Linked DNA regions of Macaca mulatta. The protein of the gene in region 2 interacts with the protein of the main gene of each other region in a pairwise test. Links are inferred from orthologs where the notes say so. Each region holds a gene or a part of one and is shown on either strand. Other genes may lie near its edges.

Region 1 (5,947 bases), on a different chromosome or scaffold from region 2:
ACTGCAGGGATTTGCGGGGAGGGAGTTTTGGTGTCAGAGCAGGGGCTGGGCTGGGAGAGTAGGGTAACTGCATAAAGCTTTACGGGGGTGGCGCGACTTTAGCGTGAGGGTCTGAAGTTTAGAATTTTCAGGGAACTCGAAGATCCCCCGTGTTTTTGTAGCAAGGAAATCACTTTGACTTTAAGGTGGGAGGCACAGGCCGCCAGAGAGCTGTTTTGGACAGGTGGCGCGTGCGCTCTGGAAAGCTGAGGGCTGGCAGGAGACGGCGCTTTCCGGATACAGAGAAGGGGCCCAGGATCCCACAGCCTACGAAAATGCACCATAGGGAGGGGTGGAAACAGCCTAGAGCTGGTGTTACCTCCCACAACAGGTGCCTAGAGCCCAAGACGAGGTGTCAGACCAACGACAGCGGGTCTCTGCGCTGGCCGCGCCCAGTCCTCTCCAGCTTTACGCACGGGCTTGTCTCGCCCTCTGGTCCCTTGAGGAAGGCAGGGGAACTCCAGCCGCCTCTCCTGAGGACAGGACTTTCCCTACAGACACGGAACTTTCTACCAGGGACTCCTAAGGGCAGAAGAAGCCAGCGATCAGGGCTCTACATCAGGGCGAGGGAAAGGCTGGAATGGCCATGGCTGGCCCCGGAGAGGGGCGCACAGCCTGTTGGCGGGTGGCAAGACCTTTGAGTTAATGTATAATTGTGAGCAGATGGCGGGGGCTGGCGGCAGCCCGGGGCCTGGGCCCAGCTAATGAGGGACAATTAGCCCCAAACCCGGTGGGGGTAGTTGAGAGAGTCAGACAGTCAAGGCAGATATTTGCTCCTCAAACAGTCTAGCGCGCTGGGCAGAGGGCTGAGTGGCAGAGCCTTTGGGCTCGCTAGGCCCCCCTGCCAGGGCCCTTTACCACTTTTCCCTCCCCCATCACCTCTGGGTCGAAAGCCTCTGTTTGTTCAGACCCAAGAGCGCGTCATAAAGGCGGAGGGAGAGGGTAGTTTATGGGGTAAATCGCTGCCACCACCATCTGCCAGGGCTTGTCCCTGCTCCCCCTGATACCCCTATCTCCACCCTCATGCAGCTGTCTATAGGAATAGCCGGTCAGGACATGAGCCCGGAGCCCTTAGATGCAGGGGCAGATCTAGGGGGGAGGGATGAGGCAGGAATTGGGGACTAAGAGCAGGGCTACCACAGGTCTTCCTGGGGACCTCTTCCCACCCAGGCATGGCTAAGTAGAGTGACCAGCAGTCCCCAGCTGCCCGGGAATGGAATGGGCTGTAAGGACACTTGGGCAAATGCTGTCCTGCCCGAGGTCCTGAAATCACCCTCTGCAGTCTCCCCTGTACCCCAAGACCAGCCTGAGGATGCCGGAGGAGGGTGGAAGAGGAAGAGAGTATGTGTCAGGGTGAAGTGGAAAACTCACTTATGTGGTATTTGGCCTCTGAGAGCAAGAGTTCCCAACCTTAGGATCAAGCTGAATGCACAACAACCACTTTCATCCCTAGAACTTCAAAACATTTACCCATGAAATAAGTCTTCCATTCTTTGATTTCTGGGTCTAGTCCTATTGCCCTACACCCTGCTTACTTCCAGTCTGACTTTTGCAATGGCTTCAAAGACTCTGAGGTGTGGAATGGACCCAAAGACCATCTGCCCAAGACCCTGATGACTGGCAACAAAACTTCCATGCACTAGAGGCTGTGTTTCACTTCCAGCATCCCACTCCACAGGCACCACCTGCCCAGCTACCGATGCCTCTTGCCTCGCCAATGACCCAGATAACCTGTGGTGTCTTTTGTGGAAACAACAGTGCCATTACTAACTTAGAGTGTAAAAGCACCAAATCCCTAACAAAATGGAGTCTGATAACATCTAAAGAGGGAAGAAGGAAAACCCTGCTGCAAGTCTTCTTATAAACACCCATATGCATCTCTGACTATCCCGAGGCTCACTTCCACCACCACTACCATTGTCAGTGTTCTTAAGTCCAGGATCCTCCATTTCCAGGCAAGAATTCACCCTTGGTGTCACCTCAGTCAAGGAGTCAATTGGAGAATTGGTGAGGATACTCTCTGGGGACAGCTGGTGCTAAGCGACACACACTCTTCACACTCTTCTCCATTCACTCTCATTATCTCAGAGTGCTAGGAGCCAACTCAGTCAGTATTTAGGCAATAGTCTGTATACTCATTTATCTTTTATAGCAACACACATAACTCAGGAGTTGACCCCAAAGTGCAGGCACGTGCATTCTGGCTGGGAAGGTGTGTTGGTGTTTTGGGAAGGCATCTTTTGTTTCTGTACATTCAAAGCCTTAAGGACACAACCTGAAGTTCCCCATCTTCCATGCCCAGCATACCCTTCAGGAGTACTGGTGCTTGTGTGGGTGCACTTTTGCCTGCATGAGAATGGCTCTGTCCCTGCTTCAGGGTGGTAGGTGGACACAAAGTGGGCTCTGAGGATTCCCCATGGAAGGACACAGTGGGTCATTGGCTGTGGTTTGCCCTGCCTCAGGGCTGGTGTCAGTCAGCCCATGCACACCTCCCTCCTCCTCTCTCCTCTGCTCATGGCCTGTGACATCATTGGCTACTCCCAGAAGGCTGCCCTCTGCTCTTGAGCACGGGCTCTCTGTAGCTCTGGACCCCCTGGCAGGACTGAAGCAGGAGCAGAGTGGAGGCTGTGACCAAGACCAGACCATCACCACCCCTGAAGCCTGCAGGGGTCTCAGAAGTTGAGACTCCCACTGAAGCTCCCACCTCATTTCCTCCACAAAGGTAGTTCACCTGCAGGCTCATTGTCTGCCCTGCCCCTTATGCTGTCTCCATGCCTCTGTGTGGCCAAACCCAACTTCTCTCCCACTCTGTCTTTGTGGCTACCACCCTCCTGCCCCTTCCACCCGCTTTCCTGTTTTTCCATCTTGCAAGCACCAGTTATTTTTTCAGACATATTAGTATGAATGTTGGGAATGTGTGGTGTGGCTATTGGGAATGGGGTTTCTGTTTGTGAGTTGGGACATAATGATTTAGGTTTGAAGATTATTTAGGTGGATACTGAACCTGCATCCCTACTGCTCCTTTGAATTCTGGTCATGTAGGAGAACTGAATCCTATCAAGGATTTAGGGTTTGGCTGATATTTTGAGCTCCTTCACCTGTCTTGCCACAGCCCTTTACAGTCCCTGCTTGACTCTCCTCTCTCCATTGTTTTTGCGGCAATTGCACAAACATGAAGCAGGAGCGGGAGCAGAGAAAGAGAGCCCAGGATTAGGAGCCAGAAATTGTAGCCTCTGGTGAGGAACTGACTTCTGAACCTTGAGTTTTATTCTCTGGACAGCCCCTGACTTGTGGGAATGCCAATCTGTGCCTCAGGTTTCTCTTTGGAAAACCTCTGCCTTACTTCCCAACCTTTTGGAAAGATGAGAATCTGAAGGGGTCTGTGCCTCCACCTACCTAGAAACAAGTGAGTAAAAGCCAATTTAGCTACTGAACTTAATAAGTAGACTCTGGATTCCAAACTCCTTGTAATTCTTTGTTTCACCAGAGCTAGTCTCCTTTCTCCAGTTGCTCTGTAATCTGTTGGAGAGCAAAGACTTTACCCTTTTCTGTTTACTGCCTTCATCCTGAACAACCAGCAATGTGCTCATGCTTAATATCTTATTCAGCATATAACTGCAGATGAATTAACTGAGCCCAGATGGCACACTTATTACAAGAAAATTCTATGCATAAGTTGTTCCTTGGGGTGACCTCCAGCACTACCAGGGTTCCAGGCATGAAAGGAGGCATCTTCAACTCCCATTAATTACTGATGAAAGTAGAAGAGGTATGGTGGCCTGTGGGACCTGTGTCCCTTGCTGCTCAGAGACTCTCTTGGGCTCATGACGGTTTCTGTATTCATCAGCAGACAGTCCTCTCCTGCTTCCCATTCCCTTCAATATGTCTTTGGTAAATGTTAGTTGAATGAATGAGTGTCTGATACCATAAAGGTGGTCTCTGAAATTGAAGCTTCACTTTGAGATCTAGAACTCTTCCGAGTTAACAGGAATGAACAATCTCAGCAGGTTAGAGATGCTAAGAGATGTGCGTCCTAGGAGAAGCCGGCTCTTCAGGCATGTTCATCTCTATGCCCAGTGTGTAGGACGAGAGCCTCAATGCCTGGGGGGTAGAGCTGAGTCCCAGTTTCTTCAGAGCTTCCTGGAGAGTATAAAAAAACAGGAGCAAGTCTTTCTGAAGTGCAGCATTTGGCTGGGCATTTTGGAGAGCCCAAATGAGGACTGCCTAATAGTGAAGGTGGACCCCTGAACTTGAGGACCCCAGAATCTCTGGCTCAGGTGTGTCATCCAGGGCTGAGAAACTTAGCAGCAGTTGGAGACAACAGCTGTCCATTTGGAAAGGGGAAAGCTTGAGCCTTTGAAAGCATCATCCCTTTCTACCTCCCCAACCTTTTGTAATGAATGTGTGGGAAATGAGAACCCTCTCAATCCTCCCAGCCCCTTATCAGGACTTCAAGAAAGATCCAGTCCTCAGCCAACCTGCAGTGTTTTAGTTTTTATCACACAAAGGTTTAAATTAAAGGAATTAGAATTTTCTAATTTTAGCCAAGTCACTGGCAAATTTTAGAAACCTGACCCTCTATCACAAAACACTACCTCCCAGGACCATTTCAAGCAAAAGACCTCACCCAAATAACCCCCCGTTATTGCAGAGAGCCCCCAAGCTGAAAAAGGAGCTCCTAGAAGGAACTTCCCTTCCAAGGCTACTTTGCTGGAGTCTCATCCTTCCGAGGAGGGTCAGCCTGGAGCATGCAGCAGGACGGTGAGGAGCCTGGGGGAAGTGGGAAGACACGGAGGACGACAGAGACAGGGGAAGACCTCAGGGCTTTGCTTCCATCAACTGTTTCATCTGCCATTGGCCAATGTTCTGGAGAAGTTTTTTCCAGTCCCTCACTTCCTGCCCTGTCCTGCTTCCCTTAGATCAGGAGAGTCAGAGGTTATGGGCAAGGAACAAAGACTCACCCATGAGCCAGCTCTCAAAGAAAGTGGCTTGCGTTGACAGCCTGGGGGCAGCAAGGATGCAGTCTCCCAGGAGAGGATGCACTCAGCGTTGGGAAGCCAGGCTGGAGGGGCCTGAGTGACCCTCTCCGCATGTGGGCAGGGCAGTGGGAGGTGGTGTGTGGATACCTCTCTCTCACGCCCAGGGATCAGCAGCATGAACCAGCTTGGGGGGCTCTTTGTGAATGGCCGGCCCCTGCCTCTGGATACCCGGCAGCAGATTGTGCGGCTAGCAGTCCGTGGAATGCGGCCCTGTGATATCTCACGGAGCCTTAAGGTAATGGGCCAGCATCTTTACCCAGTGATGGGGACAGGAAGCAGGGAGAAAGGGCTCCTCTGAAGGCAAGAGCCTGGGGCTGTTGCAGGCTCTGAGGGCTTTTGGGACTTGGGTCACTTCCTGGCAGACCCTCTTGGAGGTTGAAAAGGGGAACTTCAGACCCTCAAAGGTGAGGCTGGACTCCCAACTCCATGGCCTGGTCCAGTAAGTCTTGGCTTTGTCTTGTAGCCTCCTCCTGTCCCAGGGACACTCTCCCTCCTTCTGCCCATTGTGCCTCACCTGTCCCTGCTTCTCACCTGACTCAGGTATCTAACGGCTGTGTGAGCAAGATCCTAGGGCGTTATTACCGCACGGGTGTCTTGGAGCCCAAGGGCATTGGGGGAAGCAAGCCACGGCTGGCTACACCCCCTGTGGTGGCTCGAATTGCCCAGCTGAAGGGTGAGTGTCCAGCTCTTTTTGCCTGGGAAATCCAACGCCAGCTTTGTGCTGAAGGGCTTTGCACCCAGGACAAGACTCCCAGCGTAAGTACCCTTCCCTTCCAACAATGGGGCTGGAAAACAGGCTTTCTGGGGAGACAAATAGCCTTTCTTATTTGGCAATGAGGGCATCCCAGGCTGGTGACAGGGCTCCTGGG
Region 2 (5,891 bases):
ATCTTCTAGTAATATACACACACTAAACTCTGATATGCATTTTCTGATAAAGGTTTGCTTTAAAAACTTTCCATTCCAGTCTACTTATGTAGTCTAGGAGTTGGTACACTTTTTCTGTAAAGGTCTAGATAGTTAATATCTTTGGCCTTCTGGGCCAAAAGGCTTCCAAATAATTTTGTTGGCATCCTAGTAGGCAGTGTCCTGCTTGCCAGCCTCAGCCTACCACACCTGAGCAAACTTTTCCACCATCCAGTGGGCTACAGCCACACCTCCTTCAACATCATCTGAATCTTAGCTTGGTAAAGGGTTGGGGGCACCTATTTTCCAAATTTGTTCCTTCTGTGGCTATTCTGCCTCAGCCTTAGAAGTACTGACTACTCCATGTATTTTCTAGAGATCTCTTTACCTTAGCATTTTGTCCTCAGTAGTTAATTCTCTGTGCCTTGTTAATAATGTTTATATTAAATTTCCTGTATTCAAATTGCTGTGTGATTTCTCTCCTTCAAACGCACTGTGATGTATATTTCAAGAATTACATTAAATATAAGTGGTCTAACTACTAATTGAAAGGTTAGATTGTCCTGTTGGATAAAAGAAGCAAGACTCAACTATATGCTGTTTACATGATATACATTTTAAATATACACAGGTAAAAAGTGAAAGGAGAGAAAATGAGATATTCAGATATTTATCAAAAGAAAGTGGCTGATGGATACACTACAATCCCAGACTTCACCACTACTCGTTATATGCATGTAAGAAACCTGCACCTGTACCCACTAAATATAAATAAATAAATAAATACATGTATGTGGTAGTGGCTAAATTACTAGGGATAAAGAAGGATGAACATTTTGTTGTGATAAAGGGGCCAATTCATCAAGGAGACATATTTACTGCATGCTTACATGCTAGACATTGTGCATTTGTTTGTTCTCATATTTGTCAAAGCCTAAAAGGCAGGTATTTATATCTCCAATTTACATATAAGGAAAATAAGGCTATTAAGTGCAGAATACAGACAAGAAGTCAGAATTTTTTTTTTTTTTTTGAGATGGAGTGTCACTTTGTCACCCAGACTGGAGTGCAGTTGTGCCACCTCGGCTCACTGCAACCTCGCCTCCCAGGTTCAAGCCATTCTTCTGCCTCAGCGTACCAAGTAGCTGGGATTACAGGCGCCCGCCACCACGCCTGGTTAATTTTTATATTTTTAGTAGAGACAGAGTTTCGCCATGTTGGCCAGGCTGGTTTTGAACTCCTGACCTCAGGTGATCTGTCTGCCTCAGTCTCCCAAAGTGCTGGGATTATAGGCATGAGCCACTGCGCCTGGCCAAGAACTCAGAATTTGAACTCTTAAAACTATGCCACAGGTTGGCAACGGTGGCTCACACCTGTAATCCCAACACTTTGGGAGGTCAAGGCAAGAGGATCACTTGAACCCAGGAGTTCAAGGCCAGCCTGGGTGGGCAACAGAGTGAGACCTTGTTTCTACAAATAAAAAAATTAGCTGGGTGTGGTGGTGCATGCCTGTGGTCTCAGCTACACAGAAGGCTGAGGTGGGAGAATTGCCTGAGTCTGTGAGGTCGAGGTGGAGTGAGCCATGATCCCACCACTGCATTCCAGCCTGGGCGACAGAGCGAGACCCTGTCTCAAAAAAGAAAAAAAATTTTCCAAAAAAAAAAAACTATGCTACACTGACTCTTCAAAAAGGTTACAGGGTCAGGCATGGTGGCTCACACCTGTAATCTGAGCACTTTGGGAGGCTGAGGTGGGAGGGTCGCTTCAGCCCAGGTGTTTGAGACCACCCTGGGCAATATAGTGAGACCCCTGTCTCTTTAGAAAAAAACTCCAAAAATCAAATAAACAACAAAAAAAGTTACTGAATAGTATTCACAGTAGGGGTCCATTTTTGTAAATAAATAAAAATATTCATTAAAAAAGGTACAAAAGGTTTTATAAACCAAACTATTGAGTTTTTAATCTATGATTCCTTTTTTACAATATGCAACACTTGTATAGCAAAACCTTTTTGAATCTGCTCATAAAGTTTAATTTTACGCTGGGTGCGCAGTGGCTCACGCCTATAATTCCAGCACTTTGGGAGGATGAGGCCAGCAGATCACCTGAGGTTGGGAGTTTGAGACAAGCTTGGCCAACATGATGAAACCTGTCTCTACTAAAAATAGAAAACATTAGCCAGGCATGGTGGTGCGTGTCTGTAGTCCCAGCTACTCGGGAGGCTGAGGCACAAGAATCGCTTGAACCAGGAAGTGGAGGTTGCAGTGAGTTGAGATCGCACCACTGCACTCCGGCCTGGGTGACAGAGCAAGGCTCTGTCTGAAAAATAAAAAAAGAAAAAGAGGCCGGGCACGGTGGCTCAAGCCTGTAATCCCAGCACTTTAGGAGGCCGAGATGGGCGGATCCCGAGGTCAGGAGATCGAGACCATCCTGGCTAACACGGTGAAACCCCGTCTCTACTAAAAAATACAAAAAACTAGCCAGGCGAGGTGGCGGGTGCCTGTAGTCCCAGCTACTCGGGAGGCTGAGGCAGGAGAATGGCGTAAACCCGGGAGGTGGAGCTTGCAGTGAGCTGAGATCCGGCCACTGCACCCCAGCCTGGGCGACAGAGCAAGACTCCGTCTCAAAAAAAAAAAAAAAAAAAGAAAAAAAGAAAAAGAAATCATTAAAAAAATTTCATCTGTGACCCTACCAAATCACCTTTAAAAACAAAAGCAGAAAAACCAAATTGTTTGTGTAAGAATATATTCTACCCATAAACTACATTCCAATTCCAGGTCACAAGTCAATATTCCATCTTTCAACTCATCAAAAAAAAAAAAAAAAAAAAACAGTTAAGCAAGCTGCAGCAGCACCGCCCTACATACAGTACATCCACGGTCAACGACATCAACTGCTAGAAACTTGCACAAACTCTGTTCCTGGTTAGGAACAAATGTACACTATTGATAAACTTCACCTTTACGATTAACGAGAACTCCTGTGTGCAATTATTTCCCCTCCACTGAGTGGGCGACAGTAAGAGTGCCCATTTCAGAGATTACATTTAGTGTCTGTACTAAAGCAACCGGATGCAAAACAACTTAGTCTGCGGCTACCCACTTGAGAGGGCAAAGGTGGACTGGTAAGGCCAGCCAGCCGGGCGTCTCTAAGGTTTAACGAGACGCGAGCTCGGGCTTGGCGTTTCTCATCCTCATCTTGGGGCTGTAACAACACCCTGGAAGCGTCTGTGGTTAAAAATGCAGAACACCAGGCGTCTCCCAAGGCGCTCCCCCGTCCGCCCGGCATCGGGCCGGCTTCCACATTCACTTGTCAAGGGCACGACCCCTCTTCATAGGCTGGGGAGCGCTGCACCCCGCAAGCGCACCGGGCGCCGGCTCGGCCCCAGGCCCAACAGGTGCGGGTCCGGGTCCGCGCGAGTGCGTGCCCCCACGTACCTTCGAGGGGTGTTGAGGAGCCGCTGCTGCTCGTCCCCCTCCTCCTCATCCTCATCCGTCTCCGAGTCAGGGTGACAGTAGCAGAAGGCCCCGCTGCTCCGCTTGCGCTTGTGGCTGCCCGGACAGTAACAGAAGCCGTGGCCCGCCGCATCGTCTCCAGTGTCCGGCCTCCGGGCCGAGCCCCCCGCCCTGGCACCCTGCGCCTGCTGGGCAAGGGCTCGTCTAGGCTGGCGCAGCACCCGGCTGCTCAACGATCCCATGGGTCACGGCTCCCCGAGACTTCAGGGAGCCCAGAGAAGGGGGTCTCCCGCCATGGCCCGGCCGCCGCCGCCAGCCTTCCCCGAGCGCAGATGCCTACACCGCCACCTTCTCACGCGCAGCCCCAACCGTTGCAGCGGACGCTACAGCCTCCATCCTCCGCCCCGCCCGCAGCTTCTGGTCGCTCCGCGCGCTAGCACCGCAGAACCTCGCCCCCTCGCTTTCGTAACAAAGCGCGCGCCGGCGGGCGCATGCGTGTGGCGAGCCTCCGGAAGGGGCGGGGCAAGGCAGGCGTGCGTGCGTGGCAGGTGGAGCCTGCGCACAACGCGGCGTGCTCGTACGGGCGGGTGTTTTCGGGCTTGCGGTGGGGCTGGCTTCCAACTAACGTGAACTTAGGCGTAGACGCAGTGTTAAGCCGTAGTTCACACACGCCTTTGTAGTGGCAAGACTTGGAACTTCAGTCGCGCATTCTTTCTACAAAGGTGCCTTGAGCCCCCGGTGCTTATGGGCCTGTGCTAAGCAAGTGGCAAAACCCCGAAGCTATTTGGTCTCCTTGCGGGAGCTCGGCGCTTGCTGGGGCCGCGCTCTGCTTTGTTGGGCGTGGCCTCCTGTGAGAGGGGCCCTAGGATGAGGCGCTATGCTGGATTCCTGGGCTTCCTTAACTGGAGCCCTACCCTGCTGTAGACGTGAAAGGAACCCGTTAAGTTATGGGAACGTTCCCGGCACTCCTTTTCTTTCCTATCAAGTGCCAGTGGGATGTCCGAATAGGGTCTGGCACCATGACTGTCCGTACTCAAAAAAGTGCCTTCAGGAGGCCCTAGCAAAATTGACAAGTGTCTGCCTGGAGGAGCTGCTCTTGTGATGGACTCCGGACAGCGAGCGTTCACTCCCTGACTCCCTTCTGTTACTTTTTAAGTAAAATAATAAAAATATTTCTCCTGTGGACCCACCACTAGCTTGAAATTTTATCATACTTGGTTTCATTCTTTTTTTCCTCTCCGCTTTATTGAGGTGTAATCAATGATTCATTCTTTTTAAATAGAACAATACAGATAGGCAGAAGCCCCTGTGTACCTCCTCCATCTCATTCTGTCTCCCTCCCCAGTGGCAATCACTGTGCTGAGAATGTTGTATATTATTATGTCCATGTATGTCCTTATATGCGTACCCATATTTTCTTTTGCATGTTTAGACATATCATGGAACGGAATCATAGCTGTACCTCTCACTGTGCACCTTTCTCCTCTCAAAATTATACTCTCGAGATTTGTCCATTTGGTCAATTGCTAGATAATTTTCACTGCTCATTGAATGACTGAACCATATTTGTTTTTACATTCCTTAGTAAGAGGTTATTTCTTTTTTTTTTTTTTTTTGAGACGGAGTCTCGCTCTGTCGCCCAGGCTGGAGTGCAGTGGCGCGATCTCGGCTCACTGCAAGCTCCGCCTCCCGGGTTCACGCCATTCTCCTGCCTCAGCCTCCCGAGTAGCTGGGACTACAGGCGCCCACAACCGCGCCCGGCTAATTTTTTGTATTTTTAGTAGAGACGGGGTTTCACCGTGGTCTCGATCTCCTGACCTTGTGATCCGCCCGCCTCGGCCTCCCAAAGCGCTGGGATTACAGGCGTGAGCCACCGCGCCCGGCCGTGAGAGGTTATTTCTACTTTAACGGCCTTACAGAGCAGCAATGAACATCATGTGCAATGGATTCGCCAAGCCGATTCCCAGAAGTGAATTTGCTGGGAAATTTGCAACTTTGTTAGCTATTACTAAATTGCTCTCTGGGTTGATTGCATCAATGTACCAATTTAGACTCCCATCGGCAGTATACGTAGGGCCCCAGTGGACTAATGTCTGATTCATGTATGAGAAATCTGAACTGAGAGAGGCTAGCCGAGGCAGCTTGGGGTGGAGGTGGGAGGCAGAGAATGATGGCTGCAGAGGGATCAGCTTGCATACACAGAATTTGCCAGCACAAAGAACGTGCAGGTGTTTCCCATGGAGCAGATGTGGACCACCATGAGATAGCTGGGATGGGATCATCTTGGGTCCTGCCCAACAGGTCTGGGAGGAAAGCAATGAACTTCAGCACTGAGAACCTCAAAGAGTCACCAAATTCCTAGAGGCTGAAAAAGGAGTACACATTTGCCTTGCCAAAGGAACCGCAGGTGAGTAGCAT

The links. The genes of interacting proteins can lie anywhere in the genome.
Region 1: the proteins of GMCL1 (region 2) and PAX4 interact in a two-hybrid assay, tested with the Homo sapiens proteins (3 studies listed by BioGRID). The two-hybrid records come from large-scale screens. The link is inferred for Macaca mulatta from reciprocal best matches to the Homo sapiens genes GMCL1 and PAX4.

Annotation. Positions count from the first base shown.
Region 1 is NC_133408.1:167,466,087-167,472,033, reverse strand, and holds the start of PAX4 (paired box protein Pax-4), read left to right. Parts: upstream 1-2,582; 5' UTR 2,583-2,761; intron 2,762-3,319; 5' UTR 3,320-3,445; intron 3,446-4,690; 5' UTR 4,691-4,787; coding exon 4,788-4,800; exon of another isoform or gene 4,801-5,182; coding exon 5,183-5,313; intron 5,314-5,618; coding exon 5,619-5,834; intron 5,835-5,947.
Region 2 is NC_133418.1:54,921,637-54,927,527, forward strand, and holds the start of GMCL1 (germ cell-less protein-like 1), read right to left. Parts: upstream 3,944-5,891; 5' UTR 3,716-3,943; coding exon 3,456-3,715; intron 1-3,455. UniProt on the Homo sapiens protein: Possible function in spermatogenesis. Enhances the degradation of MDM2 and increases the amount of p53 probably by modulating the nucleocytoplasmic transport.